Linked DNA regions of Arabidopsis thaliana. The protein of the gene in region 2 interacts with the protein of the main gene of each other region in a pairwise test. Each region holds a gene or a part of one and is shown on either strand. Other genes may lie near its edges.

Region 1 (6,692 bases), on a different chromosome or scaffold from region 2:
CTACGCACTAGTTTTTCATTTTCAAAAAGCTTCATTAAACTTAAATGGTGGATATATACGGAAAATTTGGTTATGTTAGTTTGTTAGTAACGAAAATTAGACATAAATATAATATTCAGAATCGAGATTATTAAAAGAAATGCAAATTTTAAGTAATACGAATACAAAAGAAGGGTTTTTTTTTTGTCTTGGAGTGGAGGAGAGTTTGGAGAAAAAGAGACATCAAAAGGAAGATGAAAAAGAAAGGAAAAGTCAGAATAAATAATATCTTCTACTCCACTACTTAAGTTACCAACAGAATCTTTTTATAAGCATTTTGATGTTGAGATCTCAACCTAATAAGCAACTTCAACACCTTAACTCTCTCTCTCTTCGTCTCTCTCGTCCCCAACCAAAACACACATTCATGTCTCTACACCAACTTTTCCATATAACACTCATTCACCAAAAAGTTCTTGCAGAAACACCAACTCCAGATTTGTTCAAATTATTTACGTCACATTTTGTTAGTTATCATCATTACATTTTCGATTGTTAGTTTGTCATGTGGGAAAATCATTTTCTATTCGGTTCTGTTTGATGATCAGCTTCAACAAAATATCCAAATACAGCTCTTACCTCAGAAATTAACTTGAGAGAAATCCAAATTTAGACTATGTATATCGCCCTTCTCTTACAAACAAGGCTTTTAAAAACATCAGCCAAAGTCTTACAAGTGCCACTTTCGTCTTCTCCAGCCAAACTCCGATAAGGTTATCGCCTGTACCTATGTCGTTTAAAGTTGAAGTACAAATGCAGAATCCCACGCTCAAACGTGCATTTGAAACCTTTCTTGTGAGAATACTCCCATTCTTTATTCACAATCCGGAACGCCTGAAAAGCAAACAAAAATAAATTTGAGCACAATGATAACACGAGAGGTGATGATGAAACCCACATAATGGTTACGAGTACTTACAATGTCTTCATAAGGTGGACCAGCATGGAACCGGATCATACACGTTTCAGCACTTGTCCCATCTTTTTCGATAGTGTAAATGGGAGCCTTAATTTTGTCTACTAAATCCGGGTAGAAGATGTTAAACTTGTATCCTTGAACGATTTTTGGAGGCGGATTATCGTGGTCATAGTGAGTTTGGTTATACTTATTCCATTCGTAACCTGTGTGAACCCGATTGAAATACTTCGGTTTTCTTGGCCGGTACTTGTCATGCCACCAGTATACCTAGAAGATGAAAATTATGGTATTTTTGTTCTACAAAACTGAAAAGTTGCAGAGAAGAGAAAAATAGTGATAAGGGTACCTCGGAATCGAGGTTCACTTCAGCATTAGAGCCAAATATGGCATCACCTTCTTCCATTGCTCCCATTGCTTTCATTGCTTTAAGCTCCAAGTTATCTTCTACAGGTGCTGGTTTTGAGTCCATAGCTTCTTTAAGCCGTTTCTTCTGTTTCTCCAGCACAATCATCCGTTTCATTTGCTGTTATAGCCGCAGTCATATTTTGGGTCAGTAGAAGCACCAACAACAATAATTCATGTGTAAAATTCAATTGTAGGAACTGTTAAATATACCAGTAGCTTCTTGTCTTCCTCGGGATCGATTGCTTCTTCACGATCATCACCGTGCATGAGCTCTGGCGAAAACGAACCAGCCGCTTCTGCTGCCTCATCAGCTTCTTCTTCCTCCGCAACAGGCTCTGGAGAAAATGCTTCTTCAGCATCTGAAAGATTCGTATCATTTATCTCCTCCTCATTTTCTTCCACCACACGTGTTAAGCCAGGATTAACTTCTACATCATCTTCACCCTCTGAAAGTTGCTCGAGGCGATGTAGATGACGTCTCAGCATCTCAGCGTGTATTTCCTTCAAGCAAGCCTGTTGAACATCAATATAGTCAGTGAAGATGCGAAAAACAAATCCTCAGTTTTCAAAATCTAACACACCATGATCATCCACGAGCAAATACCTTTGCCTTGTATATTTCGAGGCGTTTAAGAACTGCTTCCCAATACTCTACTACTTTCGCAGACCCAGAACGCAGCTGCGATTCGATGTCCAACTGCAGTTCTACAAGCTCCGCGTGGGTCTTCCCATCGAGAAGTTTTCTCACATCAGCTTCAACACCAGCGTGTAGTCCCCTCTCTTGAGCAAGCAATTCTGCAGGAGGCTCCTCCCCTCTAACTCTAGCTCGATCAAGGGCATCCCTCTTACGAGCTTCAGCTAACTCCCAATCGCATACCACAATAAGCGCCTGGAAAATTTCAATGGTATTAAGCCCAAATATTTACTCGTAAGCAGCAGGTAATATAACATGAAAAAGAGGCAAGAATACTAATCAACCATCAAAAAGGTACAACAAGATGGTCCATAGAATATGTATTTTTTGGATCGAAATTCCATACATGCATAATAACTTTAAATGCGTGAATCTCCTCAAATGCAAAATGAGACTCAGTTGTAGAACATACCTCCCAATATTGTACACGTGTTGGAGTTGCCCGATCCAAATCCAGATACATCTTGATATCATCGCGAAGCTCTTCCATATCTTTAACAGTAAGTCCCTGCATCATACAGATCAGGGGGTCAATTTTAATAATAAGAATCATAACAATCTGATAAAACCAAACCAGTAAAATCTTCTTTGTCAACCAAAAAAGAGAACAACTACACAATCAGAGACTTTATTTAACAAGATGTCCACTCTCGATCTCAAAAGCAAGCATGCAGAATCATTCTTATATTCTGCTTCTACATAGACGTTGGTTATGCTGAGCTGGAAATTCAGCCAAATTCCTATACGTACTTTTTTTTTCTACATAGGTTCACAGAGTTATAAGAGATACTCAGAAAAGCTAACCAGAATAGATGCTATCCCAGCATCTAAATTGCTCATACTTAGACTTGCAGAATAACTTATTTTATCTCAAGCTTGTTCCCTGTCTACTACGGTCACAATCGAACTGATTGCATAGACTGAAACTGTTATGGAACTGGACTGGGCCCAAGAAAGTATAAACCTCAGTGAGAAAGCTCCACAACTTAACACGCCTATGGCTTTACAATATAATATAATCTTTTTAAATACCTTGAAAACCATGTACGGTTCACTGAGCTCGATATCCAAATCATCTGAACCATCCAAGTGCTTGCAGAGGACGTCGATTGGCTTCAGTCGACCTTCACGTAATCTAATCTCTGACCTCACCTTGCTTTGATCGAAATGGAACTGTAGATCAAGCAGATATATCAAGCAACATACACCAAACAACTGTAAAGAAGAATTAATTGCAAAAGCAAAGAAAACGCAGTTATACCTCTTCCTCTTTCTTCTCCCAATCATGGAACTCAGCCCGAGCACGTTCTCTAGCTAACAATGCCTGCAGAGGATAGAACGATTTAAGTCAATAGCTATACAGTATTAACCAAATTAGAGAGGTAACTGGCTAATAAGAATTTCAATTGTATACATCCTTCTGGATACCAGAATTTACCATTTCTTCTTCATGTCGAGCTTTCTCCACTGCTCTCTCTTCTCTCCTCTTCTTAACCTTTTCAACCTCTGTCTGCGCGTTAAACCAAAGTGCTTAAGAGTTAATACATAAGCAGAAAGCTCATTCCACCAGAAAAAATAGCAAATAGTTACAAGCATCAAGGAAATGAAAATTTCATCGATATTTTTAATCAGTAATGCTTATTGTACATACCATCCTTTCCCGGTGTCTTCTCTTCTCAGCTTTAACGGAAAATTCTTCCAGCGGTACTCCTCGATGAACATCTTTTTCAATCTTCTTCCGCCACACAAATCTGATATTAATAAAATTGCATGCCATGAGAATTGCAGACTCTTAAAACCAAGTTACTCACAAGTACATCTGTACAAATCGATAACACATTCAATTTAAGCCAACTTTTTTAACTACCAGATTTCAAAATTTGTACAAGTAGAAAACCAGGAGAGCTCCATAATCCTCCTACATCCTATCATCAAAGTTATACACCACTAAAACTCAGAAACAATAATCATATTTTCTTAGTACTTACGTCTCAGTGAGATTTGAATCACCAAATGGGTTTGAATCATTGGAGTACCCTGACACTGACTGCGTCTTCAGTTTCTTTGCTGCACGTAATGCCTACAAAGAATTTAACAAGTAGCATAAAGTTAGCAACCAGCTCCAACAAATACAAGGGTTAAAACACACAAAAAAAGGACAAAAAACAAAATAACATACAACAATAAGTTTACCTTCTTCTGAGCTTTTTTAGACATATACTCCGTAACTTTTTCCTCCGAGTAATCCTTAGATGAAGATCTCTTCTTACTCTTCCGTCCACCATCACTGTCACTGGAATCATCACTTGAGCTACGGCGTCGAGTCCGACGACTGCTGCTACCTTTCTTCCTCCTGGAACTCCTGGGCGGCGACAAATCATCTGAGCCATCAGAGTCAGAAGTGTAAGACTCGGACTCAGACCCAGACTCGGATTCATCTCTCCGCTTCTTCTGCCTTCCACTTCTATCTCTCTTACCCTTACCATGAGAACCCATATCTCTCTGTCGAAGATAAATTGAATCATTCTTAAAGTGCAATAAACAAGTATTCAAAGAGAGTCCCTAAAAGACCAACATCTAAACCCTAAGAACACACGAAGTGGTTAAATGAGCGAAAAGAGAAGCTCCAAATTCAAGTTTCACCAGCAGTAAGAGAATCTAAGCAGAAATTGAAACCAATAAACAGCGGAAGGAGAAGAGAATTGCAAACCTAGTTGGAGAGGAAGATCTGGAGTCAGTGACGATGAGTGTTGGTGATTGCGGCGTCTGCGCGACGGTGGTGAAGGCGGTAGGATTTTCTCCTCCCCGATAATGGATCGAGCAAAGGAGGGTTAAGATTTATTAAGTTTCAGGGAGATTTTCGTCATTCGGACGTCGGTTCTTCTTTCCTTCTATTTTAATACGACGTCGTTCTGTCAATAAAATCATGTGGAAATTCCCGGTTCAAGAAAAACCGACCGTCTATGGAAAATAACGACTGGTTAAGAGCAAAATCGGCCGGTTCATATTGTCCACTTATATGATCAAAAACGTTAAAAACACATTTCAGAGATTTTGGTTGAAATTTACACAATTTACACAATGTTTAGAGATCAAGTATATAGAATTAAGGGTTTGAAGCAATCGGTAAAATAAATTCACTTCCCATTTTGTGAAAATCACTGTGGTATATATATCAGCACAATTGTAAGTACAATTTGTTGTCTATTCTTCAATGAGCCAAGTGGTAAATAGCAGCTACACACACGAAATCTGAACTACTCTCGGGTGTCTTTATTCTTACCGATTATCAAATTCATATATAGGATCAATGATCTCACTGGTAATCACCAATCATCGGTAATAAGCCATGTGTCTCGATGATCTAAAAGGAGAGTTATCGAATGGAGATGGTTTCCATGGCGCCACAGGCTTCTTCTTCTTCTTCACGAGTTTGATTTCAGAACGGAGCCAAGATTCTACCACGGAGAGGAGGTTGGGTGAAGTTTTCAGCTCCTCAATATCTGTCATTTTCGATAAACGATTCAGCTCACCGTCCTGAATGTAGGCCAAATGTGTCGCCCATGTCTCTAGCCCGTCGAATATGTGAGTTGCATACACGATTGTAGCTCCTCTCTGAGTTAATCAATGGTATAAACAAGTCAAAGATCATGCAATAAGTCATCAGTAAGAATAAGTGTGTGAGTTGTAATCTTCCAATACGAATACGTGCTCAGAACTCAAGAAGTGAAACTATAAAAACCGGTACAAATTTGCACTTGAAACTGCATGATACATGCATGCTACTACTAAATTATCCTTTTATGGTACTACCACAGATCATAGACATGCAAGGACCCTATAGTAATTATAGGCAACATCACTTAGCAGCAACAAGAACCGATATGAAAAGCTTGTCCTTGAATGGTTAAGCATTAATATTCCAGTTACTAACCGACAGAAACATGTACACAAACGGCTTGTATATACTTAGGAGATCATAGATGATATTAAAGAGGCTGGTAGAATATTACCTGATCACATTCTTCTTTGAAGAATTCCAGCAAATCCATCCTTGCAACGACGTCTAGGTCAACAGTGACCTCATCGAGTAATAACACCTGTGATCAGAGCATGAGAGATTTATAAGAAGTTTGTAAAATCAGATTAAAATTAGCGTCAGCAATGATGATAACACAATCAGAAACGAGGTTCTTTTTTGCTTAAAGCCAGAGGAGAACATAACTGACAATGAATCATGTGAGATTTTAGAGGATGCAGAATAATCAGCCTCTCTGAAACAGTATTGTTTTCACCTTGAATGGATGTAAGAGTCCCATACATATCTGCACGCGCCGTTTCTGCCCATCAGAAACCTTATGCATACGCCATTGAAGATTGATATCAAGAAGATCAATCAGTTTTTCTCTTCTCACGGGATCAGTTCCTTCAACTAGAAGGACAACGAAAGAAAATCTCCTTCAGTTTATAAGCCTGAAAAAAGGGGACTAAAGATAAAACAAATCAACTTACTGAAAATTACCTCCAAATATCATATGTTCTGCTGAGAAATCTCCCTGGAGAGGAACCTCTCCCTAAAATGTAGCAGAATCAAGAAAGTAAATAACATCAGATTGATAATGCAGTCGAGCGGTA
Region 2 (4,570 bases):
GTAGAATATCCAACTAATATGTAAAATGTGTGGTTTATAAATTAAATCAAATAAATATATTATATATGTGTGGGATTCACAGTTTACTTGTGAATAGAAAAATTAAATATAAATCAGTATGTCGTCTTATCGAAGTGGATGCAATATATTAATCAGTTTGATAGACATAGGTCACGCATTAAACACTTTCTGGAAGTATATGTATGTCTCTAATATTAATAAATAGAGATTGGGGCAGATATATATAATTACAAACTAGCTAACTGTGTCTGTGACGATTGGTCCGATACAGCGATGAAATAGAACTGAAACATGTGAAACATGTCACAGTACAGTCACCTTTGGACTACACAAATATATCTTATTCTTAAGCTTAATTAGTGCAATAGTGATCGTTTTATTCTGCAGATTATACACTGAAAATTTGTTTTTAATAACAGGTTTTTGAAATTAGTGCAGACATATATATAAAGATTTTCAAACTTTTTTTCATATGACTTCAATTTCGAATGGTCCGAAATAGATAAATCAGTTTTGAAGGAATCTAAAGAGTATAGACGATTATTATAACTTTTAACAATAGGGGATTGTATAAAAAGAGTTAGTTGTCGCATAAGCATGAAAACAAAGAAGAAAGCAATTTGTTTATAGCTATCTTTCTCAAGTAAAATACGAAAACTCGTTCTTCATACCAATAAAGGGTGTTAACTAAGGAGTTGCAGAGATTTCAGCTAATGTCGTTCACCAACCACAAACCGCAGTTTTTACGGTACAACGGCCTCGAGAAGCTTCTCATACACTTGTCTAGCTGATAAATCCTCGACCTGGTTCAGGGGAACAAAAATCAGAATGGGTTATTCATTCAATGCGACAACCTATTTTTGATCACCACTATTAGAGGTCCTTGTGCCATTAGTATAAAAGCCAAAACCTTATCATCTAGAGCTAAGAAAAACAATAAGAGTTTTTAGAGATGAATCTTCACAAAGTCTTCTCAAGAGACTCAAAGGAAGGATCAACGTACCACGAGGAGTTTTGATTTGCTATTCCAACCTCTTTGGAGAGTCATCTGGCTCAACCTTAAACCAAGAACCTGAAAGAGTAAAAACACAGAGGTCGTGTCGCGTTGGTCAAAAAACCTCATTTTCACATACAAAATATGAAACGCCGTGACTAGAGTATAAATCTTAAAAAGTGATTAATAACGGATTGATTTGGTACCCTTCCCATGAATTCCAGAAGCTCGTTGTTAGCTTCCCCACGGGCTGCTGGTGCAGCAACAGTCACACGAACATCATCAGCATTTACCCCTGCAGAGAGAAAAAAGAGTATGGCAATTGTTTAATCGAAGATCCATGTCAAGTGAGTAAGAAAATAGATTTTGTGCCATAATACTATGTTTTACTTGTGATTGCTGAACGTTGTGCACGGTCTTCCACTTCTATTGCAACCTGAACAAGTCCACCGTCGAGTTGTGAAATGCAGGGAGGTACTGGTGCATCCTGTGTGCCGCCACAACAGATTAGTGATCTAGTTTTTGATCTTGGAATTGAAAAGATTATAAGAAACCAATTGTACCTGTGGGTTGGTTTCTGCAGCAACAGCACTAAGTGCTCCATCAACAATGTAAATGAAAGACGCTGTTTCCAGATTCTCTTCAGCACGATAACAAACAAAAAGCTCACAACCGATACAGTTCATTCTAAACTGTCTCTCCATTTTTCCTTCGCCACTGGTAACAAACCAAACATAAAGAAACAAACTTTTAGATAAATCGATGGTTAAATCCAAACACTGGCTCAGTAGCTCTAGACCAAAACTTACCGTTTCAATAAAACTTTTCCTCCCTCGCTGACATTCAACCTAGCAAGGTGCGTCTTCTTGTCAAGTACATTCGACCTGTCGGTCTTCCTTTTTGGCATCTTCTGCAACTGGGTATCTTGTAAAGGATCTAAATTAGTATACAAGCAATATACAAGGATACCATAACTTTGCATGTTACACTCTTAATCGGATAAACGACATATTTCACCACTTAAAATCTTAGCTTTTAAGTTCTCAAGGAGTAACCAAGCCAATGAGAAAGATTCAGGACATAAGTAAATCTACAGAATTACTGGAAACATGCAATGAGCTACAAGTCTTAACACATTCCAACTTTTTAGTTCACAAACGAATATCAACATTACCAGAGTAACAAAACCCCAAGAATCTAAATCGAAATCATGTAAAAATCTGTGCTTGGACCTAAAAAGTAGTTTGTTGTTAATCTAAATTCAAAGCAAGAAGTTATCCACCACTTAAAAACTATAAACTACTATGACCTGATGTTCAAAGTAAATCAAAGATTGAAACTTTCAATCATAATTCCCAATCAATGTATCTGGAAACCAAAGAGCAATCTCGCAAGTAAAAGGGTTTCACTCTAATTTAACGCAACTAAACCCCAAACTCGGAATCAAAAGGTGAAATTGGAGAAACGAACCAGTGATAAGGACATGAGAACCACAGTGTTTGCAGTAGTATACGAAGAGATCAGAGTCGGGTCCATCCGGCGCGGCGTCCTCGCTCGAGTACGTGTGTGTCGTTCTCTTCGGCATCTCTCTTCTTCTTCTTCAAAGTTCGTCAATCCAATAAATTTGTCGGAAACTCAGCTCTCAACTTTGCATTAATCTCTTTCACATTGTTTTTAAAATAATAATAAATTACCAAAATTGCCACGGCGGCGATCGACGGTGGAATACCAGACGGGCTACGCTGCTTTAAGGGTGAAACCGTCATTTCTCACTTTAACTGTTGGTTCAATGTACAACAGCATCTAAACCGGATTTAATTAAAAAAATTAGTGATTGGTGGTATATAAAATCAACGAAAACCAATAAGAAAACCACATGAACATCAAAATTGAATAATTCCGGTTAGTCATGTGTTTGAAGCCAAAGCGAATCTTAAACCAAACCGAAAAAACTAGTCATGGCTTTCTTGTCCCTTGGGATTTGGATTCTGCGTTGATAGCTTCTAGTTCTACAGACAAAAATCATCTTACAGCTGGTTACATACATAATATAATTAATGCTTTTCTGTTTTTGTTCAATTTAAGAAAATCTGGAGATGATTCTTTTGGGAAGATAATGTCATCTAAATCACATTACTTAAGACGCAGGTGTGCCTAGCTCTGACAAAATGTTGTTCATATCCTCAAAATGTGGCCAACTCGTCTTGCTTCTCTCATCAGCCTTGCTCTCCTGCACAAAAATGTATTACATCAAATCTTGGTTGCTAACTTAAGAGCTTTTGATCTTGTAATCATGAACTTCAAATCTACGGCTACAGATTCATATGTTCAGAGACGAACCTCGTATTTCTGAATAAGTGATGCCCAGAGAGATTTGCATTGTCCCGGGCTTCGATTGATTCCTTCAGCTGATAGATTTGAAGAGATCTCTTCCCACAATGCCATTCTACCTTTCACCACTTGAAATCTACTGTGCAGCTCTCCTCGCATTCTGATTACCTTCTTTATCTCCTCCGGTTTCCATTTGTTCTTCCTCACACGTTTTGGTGATGACTTGGTTTCAGAATCTGAAGCATCAGCTAATTCATCGTCGTCTCTGCTGTTTTCCTTACCCTCTGCTTTAGGCTCCGTATCAGCTACCTTATTCATATTTTCTGTTTCACTCGGTGAAGGTGACGATGATGGATTGATGAATGATTTCCAAAAATCGTCTGACTCTTCTGAAGAACTCCCAACGGGCGTATCAACTTCTTCCGTGTATGTTGATGCCGCAGTTTCTTCTTCAGCCAGTAGTCTTGCACTATCAATGATATCATCTGCATGACTGAAACATGTTAGATTACATCCCGAATATAGACCTACAAATGTGAAAGTAAGACCAGACCTTCCAAAGTGCGATCTACTTCTTTGGGGGAAGCTTCTTGTGAAGGTGCTTTCTTCGCCCGACTTCTTTTGTCATTTCCTTCAACAACTTTCCTTAAAGCTGCAACTCCAGAACCAACACTTGGATCACCAGACAGTCTCGCACTGACCTCATCAGCTCGGACAGCCATTGGATTCTCAGTGGCTATAGCGATGACTTCAGGCCTTTTACCACTGTACTTCCTTACAATCTTCCTCAGGACTTCGGAGACTGTTCTTTCCATGTGAGACAAGGGACATGTCACAGGACAACTTGATAGAGCAGCATGAGCTGCTTTGTGAAGTGCATCTAAAAGTCTTCCTTTGTCAAGCCACATGCACCGCGTTGTGATTCTTATTTTTCCTTTCAAAGTGTTTTCTGAGACCCCTGGACGCATGATCTCCATGCTGGATTATAGAAAATCATACAAGGAAGCCAACAAATTATTAAATACGACTAACAAAATGCACTGGCACAGGAATGTTACAATTCAGATTTACCTCAGAACTATAATGCCATCAGAAGAAATTCTAAGTCGTTCGTCAATGCATAGTTCGCTTGATGTGCCAAATGCTTTATCACCATCACTATACATTAACTGCAGCAACGCTAGGATTATTCAATATCCTAATCTAGTCATTTACACAAGATAA

Evidence for each region.
Region 1: the proteins of AT5G63440 (region 2) and AT1G03910 interact in binary tests that used the Arabidopsis thaliana proteins (3 or more experiments, as listed by UniProt).

Annotation. Positions count from the first base shown.
Region 1 is NC_003070.9:994,293-1,000,984, reverse strand, and holds AT1G03910 (cactus-binding carboxy-terminal, cactin), read right to left. Parts: upstream 4,871-6,692; 5' UTR 4,768-4,870; intron 4,560-4,767; 5' UTR 4,554-4,559; coding exon 4,251-4,553; intron 4,138-4,250; coding exon 4,046-4,137; intron 3,809-4,045; coding exon 3,709-3,808; intron 3,568-3,708; coding exon 3,496-3,567; intron 3,382-3,495; coding exon 3,319-3,381; intron 3,231-3,318; coding exon 3,090-3,230; intron 2,817-3,089; coding exon 2,685-2,816; intron 2,566-2,684; coding exon 2,470-2,565; intron 2,253-2,469; coding exon 1,968-2,252; intron 1,877-1,967; coding exon 1,574-1,876; intron 1,482-1,573; coding exon 1,305-1,481; intron 1,226-1,304; coding exon 959-1,225; intron 874-958; coding exon 754-873; 3' UTR 548-753; downstream 1-547. Other genes in the region: ABCI19 (P-loop containing nucleoside triphosphate hydrolases superfamily protein), read right to left, coding at 5,391-5,672, 6,071-6,157, 6,353-6,489, 6,580-6,631. UniProt on the Arabidopsis thaliana protein: Plays a role in pre-mRNA splicing by facilitating excision of a subset of introns. Required for embryogenesis.
Region 2 is NC_003076.8:25,404,390-25,408,959, reverse strand, and holds AT5G63440 (hypothetical protein (DUF167)), read right to left. Parts: upstream 2,709-4,570; 5' UTR 2,601-2,708; coding exon 2,486-2,600; intron 1,940-2,485; coding exon 1,825-1,939; intron 1,733-1,824; coding exon 1,579-1,732; intron 1,503-1,578; coding exon 1,406-1,502; intron 1,311-1,405; coding exon 1,222-1,310; coding exon of another isoform or gene 1,174-1,221; exon of another isoform or gene 1,094-1,173; coding exon 1,025-1,093; intron 825-1,024; coding exon 765-824; 3' UTR 504-764; downstream 1-503. Other genes in the region: emb2746 (RNA-metabolising metallo-beta-lactamase family protein), read right to left, coding at 3,153-3,245, 3,356-3,831, 3,900-4,324, 4,418-4,515. UniProt on the Arabidopsis thaliana protein: May play a role during early embryonic development. Probably involved in pre-mRNA splicing.